4 linked regions of the Kluyveromyces lactis genome follow. The protein of the gene in region 4 interacts with the protein of the main gene of each other region in a pairwise test. Links are inferred from orthologs where the notes say so. Each region holds a gene or a part of one and is shown on either strand. Other genes may lie near its edges.

Region 1 (4,315 bases), on a different chromosome or scaffold from region 4:
AAAGATTGCTGAATCCATCCAGCAACCTCTCTATTCCGTAGCTCCTTATTATTATTAGATTCATCGTTTCCATTGATCTCTCGTATCGTTGTCGAATAATATCTAGCTCTTCCAATGTGTCTTAGGCAAACGTTCAGCCCACGTCGTATTACAGTCACGTTGCTGGGAAGCCTGGCATTCATCGCTGAAACTTTCAATAGCGACATAATTCCCACCTGCACCTACTCTTCCCTGCCCTTGATTCAGCTATGCGACAACAATGTCAATAAGCTTGATGGATTTGTTTAAGAAACTATCTTCAAACAATTTATTGTAGTAACCCACCAGCTAAAGAGCGGGAAAAAAAAACGGGTAGCAGAAAGGATCAGATATAGTTCGGTCCTGAATTGGGCTTAACTAAGGCTTGGTTCACTCACCAATTGTAATGGATATCCTTAAACAAGTTGTACTATGACCGCTCATCTCTTCTCTCACACCATGTCCTTCAAATTTTTTGATACTTGAAGCTATCATATTGAACGGTAAAGCTATAACATAAGCAGATCAGACACAAATATAAAGGTTTGTGATCATACTATCAGGGGCTGCCACTGCACAATTGCGGCGAATGTTCACCACGTCAGTGCTTCATTGAATTCTTATAACTTACTTTTGAACTGAGTAAAATCGATTTTCATTATCTAGTGAAATCGGAGATATCATGATTTGTATAAGATACATAACACAATATACATTGGATTGGTAAGGTGAATTACCTATCGTATTGAGACGAGAACTGGCGATCATCTGATACTTGGTAATAAATACCTGATAGAAGACAGACGGTTAAGTTTGGGAGGAGTTTCACCAAAGTTTTCATGTAGTCATCGAAGAAATGGGAAATCACCTGCGTTAGATGGGTATATGCAGATTCGTCAAAATGGCAGTTATAGTCCTGGAAATGATAGACGTTTTCGTATCCGTGAAAATCCCACATTTGTTGCGTCGGAGAATACTGCAATGCTTTTAAATCCCAATCTGTTTCGGTCAGGAACCTACGACAAAGTGAATCACCAGCGTATGCAAAGAAAACAGTCGGTATTATGTCCTTGTATTGGCCTTCCTCGTAAGAGTAGTATTGATGGTTCTGAATGAATTGGTCGAAAATATCTAGCACTTTAGTGCATTTCTCACATTCGCAACCATTCCATAAGAGATCACATACAAGAATCTCATAGGAACTCAACGATTGCAAGATAGTGGGAGCAAATAATTTCTTCAACGATTTCAAATGAGGAAGCACCTCTTCATACAAAGTTCTTCTTCTGATATAGTTCCCCTCAACACTATCCTTCTGTATTCCATTAATTGGGCAATTGTGTCTGACACTTAAAGTCTGTAGATTCTGGCTTACATTAGGTAAATGTAATATGAATCTGTTTATGGAAAGATCCCAATTTTCCTCAGTGTAATGGTCACCTTGAGTAACGAAAGTTTTCTCGATCAAGGCAAGGTTCCTCAAAGATACTAATTCGCTAGAGATTTCGGACAAAAAATCATCGATGCAAGTACATTCCGACATCTCACATGCTAACTCCATTTCTAATGACTGTAACTGTTTCAACGGGATCACTTCTTTCAAGAAATCAGCAGTCAATTCACGATACGTCTTGTTATAATCGTGTATGCCATGGACATGGTTGAACTTCACACTCTTTAATTTTGTGAATACCACTCCTTGTTCCTTGAAATAGTAAAACACTCTAAGAGAAGAAAACTCTATGTCTTCTATCACCAATTCCTCCAAGTTTGCCAAGAGTTTGAATTTCACTGCATCAGACAATATGACATTATCAAACGATGGTAATGTCACAAAAATCTCTAGCGATTTGAGCTGCTCAAGATCTGATATATCGTTCAAAGAACCAATTTCTTGGATTCTCATCACCTTAGATGGTCTTATACCTTTCAACTTCTCTTTGTTAGCTTGGAAGAGAACGGAGTCTCTAATATCCAAATTTGTTACTTGATTTAACGATCTCACACTATCAATTAATCGTTGTAATAACGGCATACCGGCCTCTGTATCATTGAATACATCTTCCTGAACTACCAGAGTCCGTATCAGATACAAATGTTTGCTTTCTAAAAGTCTGCATATCCTATCGTATAAGAATAAATCATTTTGGTCGTTACTCTTGGTTATAGATCGATACCCAGCGACATACGTTTTCCCACACTCAATCCACCAGTCTTTCGAGCGCAATACTGGATTCTTATTAATTGTGATATCAGCGTATAGTCGAGGAGTCGCCAACTCATTGAAGCGGCGACTTACCAGACAGAGTGACGCTAGATCGTTCTGGTTCAAAAAGTTAGCCACATCATCAAAAACGTCTTCCAACGAAATACCTTGAGTCATTATCTAGAAGAATCCTCAATCCTAAGTTCAGAGGAACAGAATACAGTAATAAGGATCGGTTTCACACAATAGATTTCTCTCAATTCAAACAACAAGCCGGTAGCGACAATATAATTCAATTTTATGTGTGTTTCTTATAGCTCATCACCTTATTTTAAGCACCTTCCTTTCCAACCTTTTTTTTGTAAACTTTCCCAACGAAATACACTGGGAATAATAGTGTACGGACATAAAAAATAAACGACCCCGGAGAGGATTGAACTCTCGATCTTGCGATTAACAGTCGCACGCCTTAACCAGCTTGGCCACGGAGTCATGTTGTTGTTAATATGACAATTAGATGTGCACTATAACCTGATAGAGCCATCACATATGAGGCTATTCCTTATACATGGATCTACGTATCTCCGGACGTCATGTAATGGATTAAAATGCAGGATGGTAATATATATTCTTATCTAGCATATGCTAATATCTTATATTGGATATAAGATTTGATAATCGTTGAGGTGATCTATATTTCAAAAATTAAGGGATGACAGTTAAGCAATTCTAGTTTGGCGTCTATCTCTGAAAGATCTTCACCGAATGATTGCAGTAGTTTTCTCTGGAGAGAAAGCTTATTGAATATTTCAGGGTTTGATCCCCATTTGAAGAAACCATCTCGGTCTTCTGCTTTAAGGCCAGAAACAACATCAGATAGGTTCTGCTTTACCTTTTTCAGTTGGATGGAAATTGGTAGATGGCCTAATCCCTTTAACATGGCAATCGTTTGAGTTCCGAGCTGCAACTCATTTCGATATTGGTTGTCCTTCTCTACATCAAATAGCTCGTTCTCTGCACTGGAGTTCACATTGCTGATCATAAAACCTTCGTATAATTGCTCCAAGAGCTGTATCAAGGTGAGGCTGATGTCATCTGAACGAAATATTTGTGGGAGCATCTCTGCACACCTCAAACTTGTAGAGTAAGGAGAAGAGTTTAAATTTTTTTCTACCACTTGCAAAACATGTTCATTGATAAACCTAGCCGTCATTAATCTGACATCTGAGGAATCGTCAAAGAGCTGTTGATAGATCCTGAAGAGGATTTTGTCATCTGGTGCCGAACGGTAAGAATGCATCAAACATTGGGTTGCAGAGAGCCTCAAATGGTCGGGACTCTCATCTGAAATGTTGCTATCGATCAATTCCCAGAAAACGGATTCCGGTACGTTTTCGAAAACGCTGATGTTCTCTAACAAACTACTTTGTAACATCTCACTTTTATCGGAAGCTAAATCTAAGTACTTGAACGTTTTCACCTTGATGTTAGCCATACGCAATACTGTTAGAGTATCAGCTTTCACTGCACACCATTGATTCGGATCCTTTAAAATATCTATTAAAATGGAACCTAGAGCTGCGTATTCGACAGTTAATATTTTTGACTGTTTCAAACAATGTAATGCAGAAAGTTGTACTTCAAAATATTCAGAACGTAAGGCTAATTCCGCAATGTCCGTAATATACTCTTGGTTCTCAAAATTTAGGAGTATTCTTGTCACAACCGCCAAGAACAACTGCTTGCTACCATCGATGACGTAAGACGAATTTTCATTTATGAAAACATTGCCCAATAAGACTAGGATCGATTTTTTTTCCTTCCCATCCATGGATCCACTACTTAATAGTAACTCTATTATCTCAGCATATTGTTTAGCATTGACATAGCATGAAACGTTTGATAGAAAGCGTCCATGACTAGCGATCAACAAAGATGAGACATCCGTTACAAGAAGAGATGATGTTTTACCCACGTATATCCTAAGCGTCTCTTTTATCGCAAGTAGATATCCGTGTGTCTTGTCTTGGCATGATGGGACATTTTTAATTTCACTCAAGAGCTCGAGGATTCTTTCCTTTGGATTTTGCA
Region 2 (4,142 bases), on a different chromosome or scaffold from region 4:
AGTTTTTTAGGGACAAAAAAGTCCTACCGGAGCAAATTGGAAGAGACAGACAATTTGGCCCTGAAACAATTCGGAGTTTCAAGAAAAGAGGGAAAAACAGAGAAACGCATAAAGAGCAGACATGATTTGGTAATAGTTCCGGGGTGAGGGGCACAGTAGATACTGCAGATAAAAGGGTCTTCTTCTTATCCTCCTTTCTTAGATATGTACATAGATATACCTTTATCGAATCTGCCTAGAGAACCCGGGGGAGCTGTGAAAGCGATGTTTTCCGGGCAGGGGCTGGTGCTTTTGAGAACGGTTCAGAGTCGGGCTTGGAACCGAATCTTCCGGGTACTGAATTCTTGGAAGGTTCGGAAGAGGAAGAAGCACACACGTGACTCAAAACTTGTAGCGCCAGTCTATTGCTCGCTTCCCAGACAGCTCTTGTGCTGCTAGCTATATGGGGGGTGATGGTGTTATAATGGCAATCCTCAGATAACCATTGTTCTACAATTGGCTCATCGTGAAACACGTCCATTGCTACATGTCTAACTCTGCCGGGTTCTTGTGCCATAATATGCTGTAATGCATCATCGTCGATTATTGAGCCTCTTCCGACGTTACAGATAACAACGCCGAACTTGCATCTTGACAGAAAAGTTTTGTTGATCATGTGATGTGTTGATGCATTTCCTGGTAGACATATTACAATGCAATCAAACGTTTCAAGGCATGGACTGCTTCCATGCGCATCCTGAAAATCAGACTCAAGTAGCTCAGAGATTGGATGGAATTGCCACTTCTGGATATAAGTGTCCGAGCTTATTTGTTCTTTTGTAACCGGATTTCTCTGCGTGTAATGTATTTCCATTCCTAATCCGGAATCCAATTTCCTACCACACTGGATTCCAATACGTCCAAGTCCCATAATGAGACATCTCTTGTTCCGACAACTTTCATTAAAGGTTCCTCGTTTCCATCTGTGCCCAAATTCGAACCTTGGTGAATTGTTTTCACCGTGTTCCAGTACGATTTCTGAACGAGCCTTGATAGTGTTTCTTGCTGATCTCAATGCATGTGCCTGACTTGAGAATTTCCGAAACCCATCTAGAACGTGCCAGAGGACGCAATCTGCAACGTCGTTGGCTACAATTCCAGAGTCCTGTATCATGTCGTCATAATTGTACAGTTGAATGCCCTTTTCCCGTAGTGACTTCAGGTCGAGCCAATTGTAACCTACAGAACACAGACATATGCACTTGATCGACCCAGGCCAACGATGATCATCCAAGATTTCTGCACTCAAACCACCTAAGGGAGCGAATTGTGGATACCCTCCAAATATTCCGACAATTGGACCCTTTTGCTTCGAATGCTGGTCCAAGAAAGTTAGAAATGCTTCCTTACCAGTGCCATCAACATCTCGTTCAAGTGTGTAATTAACCGTGTTGAACTCTTTTTGCAAAAGCTTATATTCCTGTAAACTGTATTCAGGTTCAGCTATGAATAGTATCCATGGCCTGTCCATCGTGAAACGAAGTTTGGGACAAATGAGGGAATATGGTTTTGTGTATAAACTTTGCAGTGAAGGGATCCGAGTTTTTCTCTGCCAACCCAGGATCGTCTTTGTTATAATTAATATTGAAACCTCCGTTCACAGATCTGGGTCACGTGAAGAAAACTTCAGTCACTATTTTACGATATTGGTTGAACTGACATACTACCTTTCGAGGTGCTGAACATTCCTGGATCTTCAGCAATTTATGAGCATCTGAAATTGTCCAACTAGTTTGTTAACGCTCGAGATCAATGCCTGAACTGAATGCAGTTATATGCGTCTAGAACGTTTGTCTTTTAACCTTGAATTAGTGTTGAAAATAAAGAAAGTGCGATTGTTACAATAAAAATAACAATAATAGGGAGGATCATAGTATTTAGCAAGAAAACAATAACGACTTCAAACGTAGGGCTACCTTCAACTAGATAGGAAACGTTGGACCTAGTTCATAGAACGTCGAATTGACAAAAGCTTGTAATAATGGACGAAAATTATGATGTTATCGTCCTTGGGACAGGTCTTACCGAGTGTATATTATCTGGCTTACTCTCAATCGAGGGGAAAAAAGTCTTACATGTTGACAGACAGGACCATTATGGTGGTGAATCATCCAGTGTCACATTAACGCAACTATACTCTAAATTCAAACAACATCCTTTGAGTAAGGAAGACATTGAGTCAAAGTTTGGCAAGGATAGAGATTGGAACGTGGATTTGATTCCTAAGTTCTTGATGGCGAATGGTGAATTGACTAACATTTTGGTTCATACTGACGTCACCAGATATATCGAGTTCAAGCAAGTTGCTGGCTCGTACGTTTACAACAGAGGTAAAGTATATAAAGTTCCTGCTAACGAAATGGAGGCTATTTCATCTTCTTTATTGGGTATCTTCGAGAAAAGAAGGATGAAGAAGTTCTTGGAATGGATCAGTGCATACAATGAAGAAGATATCGCCACACATCAGGGCTTAAACTTGGATCAAAACACTATGGATGAGGTATACTACAAATTTGGCTTAGGAAATTCAACCAGAGAATTTATTGGACACGCAATGGCCCTTTGGACCAATGACGATTATCTGCAACAACCTGCTAGACCATCAGTGGAAAGAATTATCCTATATGTGCAATCGATTTCCAGGTTTGGTAAATCTCCATATATTTACCCTATGTATGGGTTGGGCGAATTGCCTCAAGGATTTGCTAGATTATCAGCTATTTACGGTGGGACATACATGCTAAATACCCCAATTGAAAAGGTTTTATACTCAGACGATGGTAAATTCGAAGGTATTGTCACCAAAGAAGGTACTGCAAAAGCACCAATAGTCATCGCAGATCCAACATACTTCCCTGAGAAATGTAAAACTACAGGTGAAAAGGTGATCAGAGCAATTTGCATCACTAAACAACCTGTTCCTAACACTAGTAATGCTGATTCTTGCCAAATAATTATACCACAATCACAAGTTGGAAGAAAGAACGACATTTATATTGCTACTGTCTCTGACGCCCATAAAGTTACTTCGAAGGGTCATTACCTCGCCAGTGTATCAACCATCATTGAAACTGATAAACCTCATATCGAATTAGAGCCGGCTTTCAAAATGTTGGGCCCAATTGAGGAGAGGTTCATGGGTATTTCAGAAATCTTTGAACCGATCGAAGATGGCACTAAAGACAACATTTACATCTCTAAATCTTACGATTCCTCATCTCACTTCGAATCCATGACCGACGATGTCAAGGATATCTACTTTAGGATTACTGGTCACCCCCTTGTTTTAAAGAAGAGAGAAGATGTTGCAGAGGAGTAAGTGAGAACTACGAGATAACCGTGATGCTAACTTTTGAAAATATCGTACCTTCACGTACTTCTACGTACTTTTACGTTACTTTCTTGTTTCGTTACAATCTTTATCATTATCATTTTATTTTTGTCTATTTACTATCTAGCCCCACATATTAGCTTGAATGTTTTGGCAATAGTTTTATTTCAGCAATCGACGTAAAAATATCCCAGCTAGTCCTCTTAAGTCCAGCAGCTTCTCTACTTCTACATATGAAGTTGTGTATGTCAATTTTGTACATGTATCTTTTTTTTTTCCTTCAACATGAAATTGTTTAAAACAATTTCATGTTGAAATTTGACAATACAACTACAACACATTCAAAAGTCAAATGCATGGACCTCTGAACCAAGGCCGTACTGTCCAGAACCATGCTATTATTTTCATTTTTCAAGACCCTGGTTGATCATGAAGTCAAAGTCGAACTAAAGAACGGTATTGAACTAACAGGTACTCTAAAATCAGTCGACCAATTTTTGAACTTAAAATTAGACAACATTTCGTCCAACAATAATGAAAAATATCCACATCTATCAAGCGTGAGGAACATGTTCATCAGAGGTTCTACTGTGAGGTATGTACATTTGAAGAAATCTATGGTGGATACCAACCTACTTCAAGATGCAACCAGAAGAGAATTAATGAGTGAAAGAAAGTAAACGAAAGAAGCAGCGAAAAACAGGGTTCCTGCTGCAGAAAGGAATAATTTATAACTGTTAAATATCATTCGAGTCTACCACTCTCACACTAT
Region 3 (5,020 bases), on a different chromosome or scaffold from region 4:
ATGCACTTTGAATACACGTAGATGCCATAATTCCATAGTACATACGTCTTACATATCATATATCTCATAAATATATATATATATATATTGGAACTTTTCGAATTAGAGTTTTTCATCAGCTTTTCAGTATTTTTTTTTCGTCAATTTGATTCAACGTTCCTTGTAAGAAGAAGAAGAGGAATTGATTCTTTCCTAGTTTCTTCTCTCACCAGGTTTAACTATCCATTAACGATGTCTTTCTCTGATTTCTCCAAGGTCGAAACCTTGCAAAAGTTGAACACTTTCTTGGCTGACAAGTCTTACATTGAAGGGTATGTGAAATAATTATAGTGGTGGTTTTCCAATGGCATCAAGCAGTTTTTTGAATAAGAGAATTCTTCAAAGTTTACTATTTCAATGATGAACAAATTCTTTGGTCCGTGTTTATGACGGGAAGTAAGACCCCCGGTATGAGTGACAAAGAGACAGTACCTAGACAGTACGATTCTGATTTATCTTTTTTATTGAATTCTCTTTTCAGCAAGCAAGCTTAGCTGCCATACAAAAAAATTTCATTTTTTTGTTCTTTCCATTTTACTAACTAACAATTGCATCAATATAGTACCTCTGCTACTCAAGCTGACGTCTCTGCTTTCAAGGCTTTCCAATCTACTTACCCAGAATTCTCTAGATGGTTCAACCACATTGCTTCCAAGGCTGATCAATTCGAATCCTTGCCAGCTGCTACTTCTACACCAGCTGCTGCTGAAGAAGAAGATGACGATGACGAAGTCGATTTGTTCGGTTCTGACGATGATGTCGATGAAGAAGCTGAACAATTGAAGGCTAAGAGAATCGCTGAATACAACGAAAAGAAGGCTGCTAAGCCAAAGGCTGCTGCTAAGTCTATCGTTACCTTGGATGTTAAGCCATGGGATGACGAAACCGATTTGGAAGAATTGGTTGCCAACGTTAAGAACATCGAAATGGATGGTTTGAACTGGGGTGCTCACCAATGGATTCCAATTGGTTTCGGTATCAAGAAGTTGCAAATTAACATGGTCATCGAAGATGCTAAGGTTTCTCTTGATGAATTGCAACAACTTATCGAAGAAGATGAAGACCACGTCCAATCTACTGATGTTGCTGCTATGCAAAAGTTGTAATTAAACTAATTTAAGTTCTTCACCTTTTTCCCCTTACATAAATGAATAAATAAATATACTATATTTCTCAACGACCCCCTTCGTGCTTTCTTGCTGGACCCGAACCCTTGCTGTCTCTTTTATCCTGTTATGTTCATCTTTCTTTTAGGTTTACAGCCTCTGAGCATCTTAAGAATAGAAATGTGCATAATATAAATGCATATAGATAATTAATTAAACATCATGCTGCATTTAAGGTAAAATATGAGAAAAAAAAACAGGAAAGGCAACAGAAGCCCTACGGTCTAAGTTCGGTTAAAACAGTTTTCGATTACCTGTTTGTCAATTGCCAGCAAGATTCAAGTTTCAAATGAATGGCTCTCATAGTACTGGCCACGATAAGAGAAACAACACAACCGATTTCGAAAAGTTTAATCCCTTTAAGAGCTCTCAGGATGAATCCCTGCATGTAAGCTGGACTTCATTGCAACAAGTGTATCCGAATTTATCATATTATGGGGGACCTACTTTCATTCTTCCGGTTCAGCTCTACTATATCATAGGTACGGCAAAGGGAGCCGTTGTTATCTTTAACAAGAAACAATTCGTTCAATCTGTACTAGCACCATCTTTACCAGATTTTAGATCCAAGGTAACATTTATCGATATAAATCAGGATGGTACCCATGTTTGCGCAGCCTATGAATCCGGTGATATATTCCTGTGGGACTTAAACTCTCAAGTCGATGAAAATTCCGATTCTAATCATCTAGAAGCCGTGCTGCATATTGCTTCTCATAGAGGACATTCCTTTAATGGTCTTAATTTTATCCCGGGGAAACATACCAATATTGCAGTCAGTGATTCTACAGGACATATTGTACTTCACAAGGGTACTAGAAATCATCTTTGGCAATTGGTACCTAGTGCAAAAGAAATCTTGAGGCTGAATCCAATGATAAACCCTTTATTGACTACGCGCATTCGAAGCAACGGTGAAGATTATGATGCTGAACATCTGTTAGCAGTTTTATCTAATCGATCCTTCGCAGTCATATCATTGTCATCGCCAACTTTATCAACTTATCGGCTCATTGAATTGTCACACAAAAACTCGGCCACTTTTGGATATATCTCCTGGAATGACGTCAATCCAAATCAGGTTGCCTTCTCTGTAGATAACCAGTTGAGCCTTGTCGATATCAGGTTTCCGACTTTACAATGGACGTACGAAGCTCCTGAATGCATTTGTAAAGTTGCCTGGCTCACAAATAACATTTTGACTATTTTGCTCTTGTCAAGTAAGCTTCTCGTTTTAAACATAGGTAGTGTTGATACCGATGAGGATCCTGTACTCACTAGTATTGACTTACTTATTCATGAACTGATGGTTCCAGAATCTGAGAACCATTTCGCTACGTTAAATAACACGATTGTTGTGCTCACCAATTACAGTTTAATGGTGGGGAAAATTAACTCATGGTCCGATATTGTCTTACACCATATACATAAAGGAGATTACATTAATGCATTAGGAACCCTAGGTTACTATTTACAAGGTCCATCATTCGATTCGATAACCGCCTTATTACATCTGGAAAAAGACTATCAGAAAAGAATCAGACAAATTGAACCATCGTTTAACAACTTGACACTAGCAACTGTTCAATTTTTACTGAAGAAAGATGATATAAGTTACAGTAAGGTCACTGAAGCTACATCATTGATTTTGGACTTGGGAAGTATTTTCTCAGATGAAAAGATGTATGTGCTTTTAGAACAGGTAGGGGAAGCTTTGATGACCAAACATAACGAAGAATTTCAAGAAATACTTTACGAAAAAATCGTTAACGGGACAGTAACATACCTCTCACCAATACTTTTCAAGGCTGTGATGGAATACACAGTGTCTTCAGGAAATGATAGAAGGTTAGAGACAATTTTATTATCGCTAGACGGTACAACTTTGGATTTGGATTATGCTTTCAAGGTTTGCAAAGAGTTTCGTCTCTACTCTGCACTTTTATATCTCTGGACAACCATTTTGGATGATTATAAAAGTCCCCTAGTGGATATAATATTTTACTTTGCTGGCAAAGAAGAATGTTGTGTAGTTTTTGATGCTAACATTGAAGATAATACCCTTTTCGAGTACATCGAATCAACTTTATTGGGAAAAGTTTATCCAACAGAAAAAAGAGTGCCTTCCAAAAAGATTCTATACCTAAAGAACTTTTATTACAGCTTACTTTTTAGTGGCTCTTCTTTGGAATGGCCACAAGGCTCTGGAAAAAAGCTTTTAACGTGTCCCCTACCAGCAGAAGAACCAGCCTTTCCATATGCTTCCCTTTTAATATCATCAAGTGCGCAAAATTTCTTGCACGTTCTTGATGTCTCATTTGAAGATGTTCTGTTCAATGAATCCCCTCAAAATGGATTTCATTTTACTAGACAACATATAATTGATGTTCTTTTGGACATACAGAAGAATTTCAAAGAAAATCATGTGAAACTTCTTATTGCCCTCTTTGTGTTCAACAATTTGCCAAAGTATTCTCAGTTTATTCGCCTAACCAACACTATCATTGACTCACAAATAGACGTCATATTATCTGCTGATTTGGAAGGATTTGAACAAATTTCTGAAGATTGTCTTGAAGCACTATTGTCTGTTTATTCACCAGATAATATTAACGCCCTAATTGATAAAATGTCAGGAGTGGATTTTTATCGTGTTCGGCTTCTGCTATATAAAAAGGCCGGAAGATATACAGATTATCTTACCTTTATTCTTAGCGATCAACACAGGAATACGAATGGCAATGATATTATTGCAGGTTTGAAACTATGTGATGGTGCTACAGCGAAATCGCCTATCGGTCGAAGTGAAATTTGCGACCTTCTATCAGATACATTTCCGAAGATTATCGAAAATTGTCAAGATCAGCGTTCCCTTGTCTCAATCATAGACTCTTTTGATAGTAGCTTACATGAAAAAATTCTTCTTATTTCTGATCCGTTGACGCTCTTAGGATATCTTCGTATACTTCTGTCTGGGAACTATCATCTATCTGCCCCATTTTTGAAGAAAGCAAGGCCGAAGTATCTATCATTGTTGTATGAAACCGGAGATGCGTCCGGTGTATCACAATGGGTTGACAATATTGACCTTAAAAACATCGAAGTTGAGAGTATTGTAGATATTATTAACGGAAATAGGGATTCGAGAACTTTGATACGATTGCTAGTACGGCTAAAGAACTATGGGTCGGCAATAGATAAAATAAACTCGAAAATCAACGAGTTATTACAAAATAATGATTTTGACGAAATTGATAATTATTTGGATTTAGGCATCAGTGTATCCCAGAAGACAGATGAAACTAACAAGAACTGGGTTAAATTGATATCAAACTTGGTCTCTCAATACCCAACTCTTACCGATGATCAAAAAGCGTTTTGTGATAAAAGTTTGCAGAAAGTATTTATTGAGCTTTCAGATGGGAACCTGAATGATATCGAAAACTCGGAGGAGAGCTTTTTCTGGAAGACCCTAATGGAGATATTTGAAAACAAATCTCTTATCTTGAGTAAAATCAAAGATATTAAAGTGGTGTTGAAGAATATTTTCACAGCTTATTCTGTCGAAGAGACAGTGAAACTTCTTATTTTACAGATTATCAATCAAAGTGCATCATCAGATATTACAACCTATATGCACAGAAAAGAACATGGTTGGGCAATTCAGTCTCATGAGTGTGAAGTATGTGGCAAGAAAATATGGGGAATTGGAATCGATAATAAAGTCTTTGAACAGTGGGAGTCAGCGAGATGCCACGAGGTCGCCGCTAGTGGTAGCAGTGCACTCGTTGTATTTAGTTGTGGGCACAGTTTCC
Region 4 (3,292 bases):
AGGGTTCAGATCTAGATGACTCGGACCAGAAACATCATCAAATTTTTAACAGAATGTTGGCTCCACAGAGTTTCCAAACGATGGTCACTTCCTTGACTATGGATCCAAAACGCATTTCAATTCTTACAGAATTGGGTAAATACTGGTACGCTTTGTGTTTCAACTACGGGTATCTCTCTGCCAATTCTCGAGTATATTGGTCTCTCTTCACCGAACTTAGTGGAAAACCATACAACTCCGTGGCTGGATTTCAAGATTGTTTGATCCAATTTGGATCCCTTTACCTATTGCTACATACTCATAACCTGTCCGTCGAAAGAACCACTGTCAATAGATTCTTATGCATTTTCGAGGACAAGTTCAACGACTGGTTGCTACAAGCTTCAGAGGAATTGTATTGCCCCCTACAAGAACATAGATTACCTCAGATCCTCAACATCTTGGAGCTTTTGATAGGGTACTCTTCTCCTCAACTAAGGCAAGATATCAGAACCTGTTTTGTCTCGCCACATAACTCATTCCATTGCCCCTTCGTCAACTCCTCTTTCATTAAGTTGATCGAATCACCAATCAATAATATCTCGAACACTACTACTTCGATATTAAATCTTTTACATCTTAGACACAACAGGGAAACTCACAGATTGGAGCCTTTGCCTCCAGTTTCTCGTGAATCTTCAGTGTGTTCTTCCATATCGCATGATTACATCACCTACTCCGGACTACCCACGCCATCGGCAAACACCACCACTGCAGCATCAACTGTTAATTCCAACTCTTCAATGACTTCTATCGCTGAGCAGGATTCCGAGGCTGATAATTGGCCCGAGGAAGAACAACTCTTGGAAGCAGAGAAGATCGGGGCCGCTATCCAAAGGCTTAACGAGCTGGGCTTTGTTAAGATGTCTACTGAATGAGATAATAAGCATGCGCACGATACTTCTTTCACTTCATTTCACTTCACTTCACTTCACTTCACTTCACTTCACTTCATTTCACTTCTATTCGATTAATGTTAGCTACTATTTATTCTATTCTATTTAATCAATACACACCCCAACTATATTTATCAACCAAATCAGCCTCTTGTCATTGTTTTAAACGTCACGAACTCCCCTCAAATTACCAATCACGTGATCGACAATTCGTATTATCCAACTTAAAGGCTTTCAGTCATTGAAACCTTTAAATTCAGAATCAACAGGTTTCATCCCTTCCAGATAAAAAGATAAAAAAGTAGAGAAACTGGAACGAGTAACCGCGGGTAGAAGTCGTATTGGACATTTTGTTTCGAGCATTCACCAATATCAACCCCAGGTTTCCTATACTGCTGATTCTTTCTAAAATATCGCAATTTACTTCCCATAAATTATGCTTCAGTTCAAATTAGTATTGTTGGGAGATTCTTCTGTTGGAAAATCCAGTATTGTTCATAGATTCGTCAAAGACTCGTTTGATGAGTACAGGGAATCGACTATAGGTGCAGCTTTTCTTTCACAAACTATTAAATTATCTGAAGAGTATGATGAACAAGTTTTGAAGTTTGAAATTTGGGATACGGCCGGTCAGGAACGCTATAAATCTTTGGCACCTATGTACTATCGTAATGCAAATGCCGCTTTAGTTGTGTACGATGTCACTGAACCAGATTCTTTGCCTAAGGCCAAGCTTTGGGTTGATGAATTGAAAGAAAAGGTAAATGACGATAAGTTGATCATCTGTCTTGTGGGGAATAAGTTGGATCTAGTATCTGAAAGGGAATCGACCTCTTTAGTCGATGAAGCGGACGCACGCGAGTTTGCACAAGAGAATAATTTGTTGTTCCACCAGGTCAGTGCTAAGACTGGAGAAAACGTAATCAAAGTCTTCCAAGATATTGGTGAAAGATTATATTTGCAGAACAAAGATAAGATACAGGAATCGAAGAAACCTAATAATAATAATATATCATTGCAAAGACCAAGTACAAATGATTCACAGTCTTGTTGCTCATGAAGACGGCTTTATTCGTATGCCTGCATATAGATCTTCAGGCCACAATAAATATATATATACGTTTACGTATAACCATGAAACACACGCTAGCCCGTATAAATCTTTAACATTGAGGAACAACCGAGGATTTTGAAGAAATAGTTTTGTTTACATTTTTTGATATAGGTTTTAAGTGTATTCAGTATACATGATTAATTATGTGGTATTAATGTAAGCTTATGTAGTGCTAATCTGTGCAGCGTTGAACACCAATAGAGGAAATAAATACAAGAATTGGATCAAAGGAACGGACAAAGTGAAAACATTAAAACTATTTTAATCTCTTGCAGATCAATTCAGCTGCCTTTTTCACACCTTCTTCAGAGCCTAGGACATATATAACATTGTTAACCTTATCGCTTTTTCTTGGAACATGGATAACAGTTTTAGTGGCATTTCTGATTTCTCTGATATTTCTACCGTTTGGTCCAACAATAGAGTTAAACTTCTTTGCATCCTTGGACCAAACGAAACCTTCGGTGTTAACAAGTTTAGCCTCGGCGATTCTGTCTTCTATCAATTTGGACGCTTTTTCTAAGACTTGATCTTTGCTTTCTTCATCTTTCTTATAGTCTTCACCTAAAACATCACTCAAGTCAATTGGTGAGTATGTTAATCTCCATGGGATTGTGTCAACCTTAGCTTCAGTTTCTGTGACAGATTGAATGAGGACGTTGGAGCTTTCATTTTCACCACCAGCGACATTTTCAGGAACCTTGTAGTTCGCACGAGATAAACTTTGTGCGGTTCTAGTCAAGTTACCATGAGAAACATCAATAGAAAATTCGTTTCTTAACGTTTGGAAAATCAAACCAGAGTTAGAAACGTATGAATGGTATTTGGCAGGGACAGCAATTTCCAAGTCGAAACTATCCCTGATGATTTCTTTTTCGATTTTCTTCTTGCAAGATTCAATATTAGCAGGAGAACCAGAAACAGTGACCTTTTCATCTGAGCTGTTCTTGTTTGGAACATGAATTCTTACTTTGAATTCTGTCTCCAATTCACGTCTTACTGATCCAGCTGGACCAATCAAGGCACCAAACTTCTCTTGTGGAATATTTAGCTCCTCGGTAATGCTGTTTTCTAAGCCAGAAACAACTCCCTTAATTTGTTTGACAACCTTCTTCACAAAGTCAGATGGTCCGAAGATAGTGATAACCTTGTCTTCAGAAGAGGCATCAGGGATATTGACTCTCTTGTTTCTAATCTCATCACCACCAGCTTTGCTGATAATTTCTTTCAATTGGGAGCCACT

What was found.
Region 1: the proteins of YPT52 (region 4) and ROY1 interact in binary tests that used the Saccharomyces cerevisiae proteins (3 or more experiments, as listed by UniProt). The link is inferred for Kluyveromyces lactis from reciprocal best matches to the Saccharomyces cerevisiae genes YPT52 and ROY1.
Region 2: the proteins of YPT52 (region 4) and GDI1 interact in binary tests that used the Saccharomyces cerevisiae proteins (3 or more experiments, as listed by UniProt). The link is inferred for Kluyveromyces lactis from reciprocal best matches to the Saccharomyces cerevisiae genes YPT52 and GDI1.
Region 3: the proteins of YPT52 (region 4) and VPS8 interact in a two-hybrid assay, tested with the Saccharomyces cerevisiae proteins (2 studies listed by BioGRID). The link is inferred for Kluyveromyces lactis from reciprocal best matches to the Saccharomyces cerevisiae genes YPT52 and VPS8.

Annotation. Positions count from the first base shown.
Region 1 is NC_006038.1:760,853-765,167, reverse strand, and holds ROY1 (Roy1p), read right to left. Parts: upstream 2,402-4,315; coding exon 752-2,401; downstream 1-751. Other genes in the region: PET111 (Pet111p), read right to left, coding at 1-206; tRNA methylation protein TRM732, read right to left, coding at 2,916-4,315. UniProt on the Saccharomyces cerevisiae protein: Non-SCF-type F-box protein involved in the endocytic with the vacuolar sorting pathway. Acts as a repressor of YPT52 by inhibiting the formation of active, GTP-bound, YPT52. Involved in the defense mechanism against methylmercury toxicity.
Region 2 is NC_006042.1:852,294-856,435, forward strand, and holds GDI1 (Gdi1p), read left to right. Parts: upstream 1-2,020; coding exon 2,021-3,358; downstream 3,359-4,142. Other genes in the region: KLLA0_F09163g (putative hydroxyacid dehydrogenase), read right to left, coding at 236-1,510; Sm-like protein LSM2, read left to right, coding at 3,763-4,050. UniProt on the Saccharomyces cerevisiae protein: Regulates the GDP/GTP exchange reaction of SEC4 by inhibiting the dissociation of GDP from it, and the subsequent binding of GTP to SEC4. Plays an essential role in the yeast secretory pathway.
Region 3 is NC_006039.1:1,631,297-1,636,316, forward strand, and holds the start of VPS8 (CORVET complex membrane-binding subunit VPS8), read left to right. Parts: upstream 1-1,494; coding exon 1,495-5,020. Other genes in the region: EFB1 (translation elongation factor 1 subunit beta), read left to right, coding at 232-311, 602-1,145. UniProt on the Saccharomyces cerevisiae protein: Required for localization and recycling of the CPY sorting receptor (VPS10) to the late-Golgi compartment. Involved in the retention of proteins to the late-Golgi. Plays an integral role in the complex vacuolar protein sorting process.
Region 4 is NC_006040.1:200,141-203,432, forward strand, and holds YPT52 (Rab family GTPase YPT52), read left to right. Parts: upstream 1-1,371; coding exon 1,372-1,995; downstream 1,996-3,292. Other genes in the region: KLLA0_D02354g (uncharacterized protein), read left to right, coding at 1-917; SCP160 (Scp160p), read right to left, coding at 2,306-3,292. UniProt on the Saccharomyces cerevisiae protein: Required for transport in the endocytic pathway and for correct sorting of the vacuolar hydrolases suggesting a possible intersection of the endocytic with the vacuolar sorting pathway.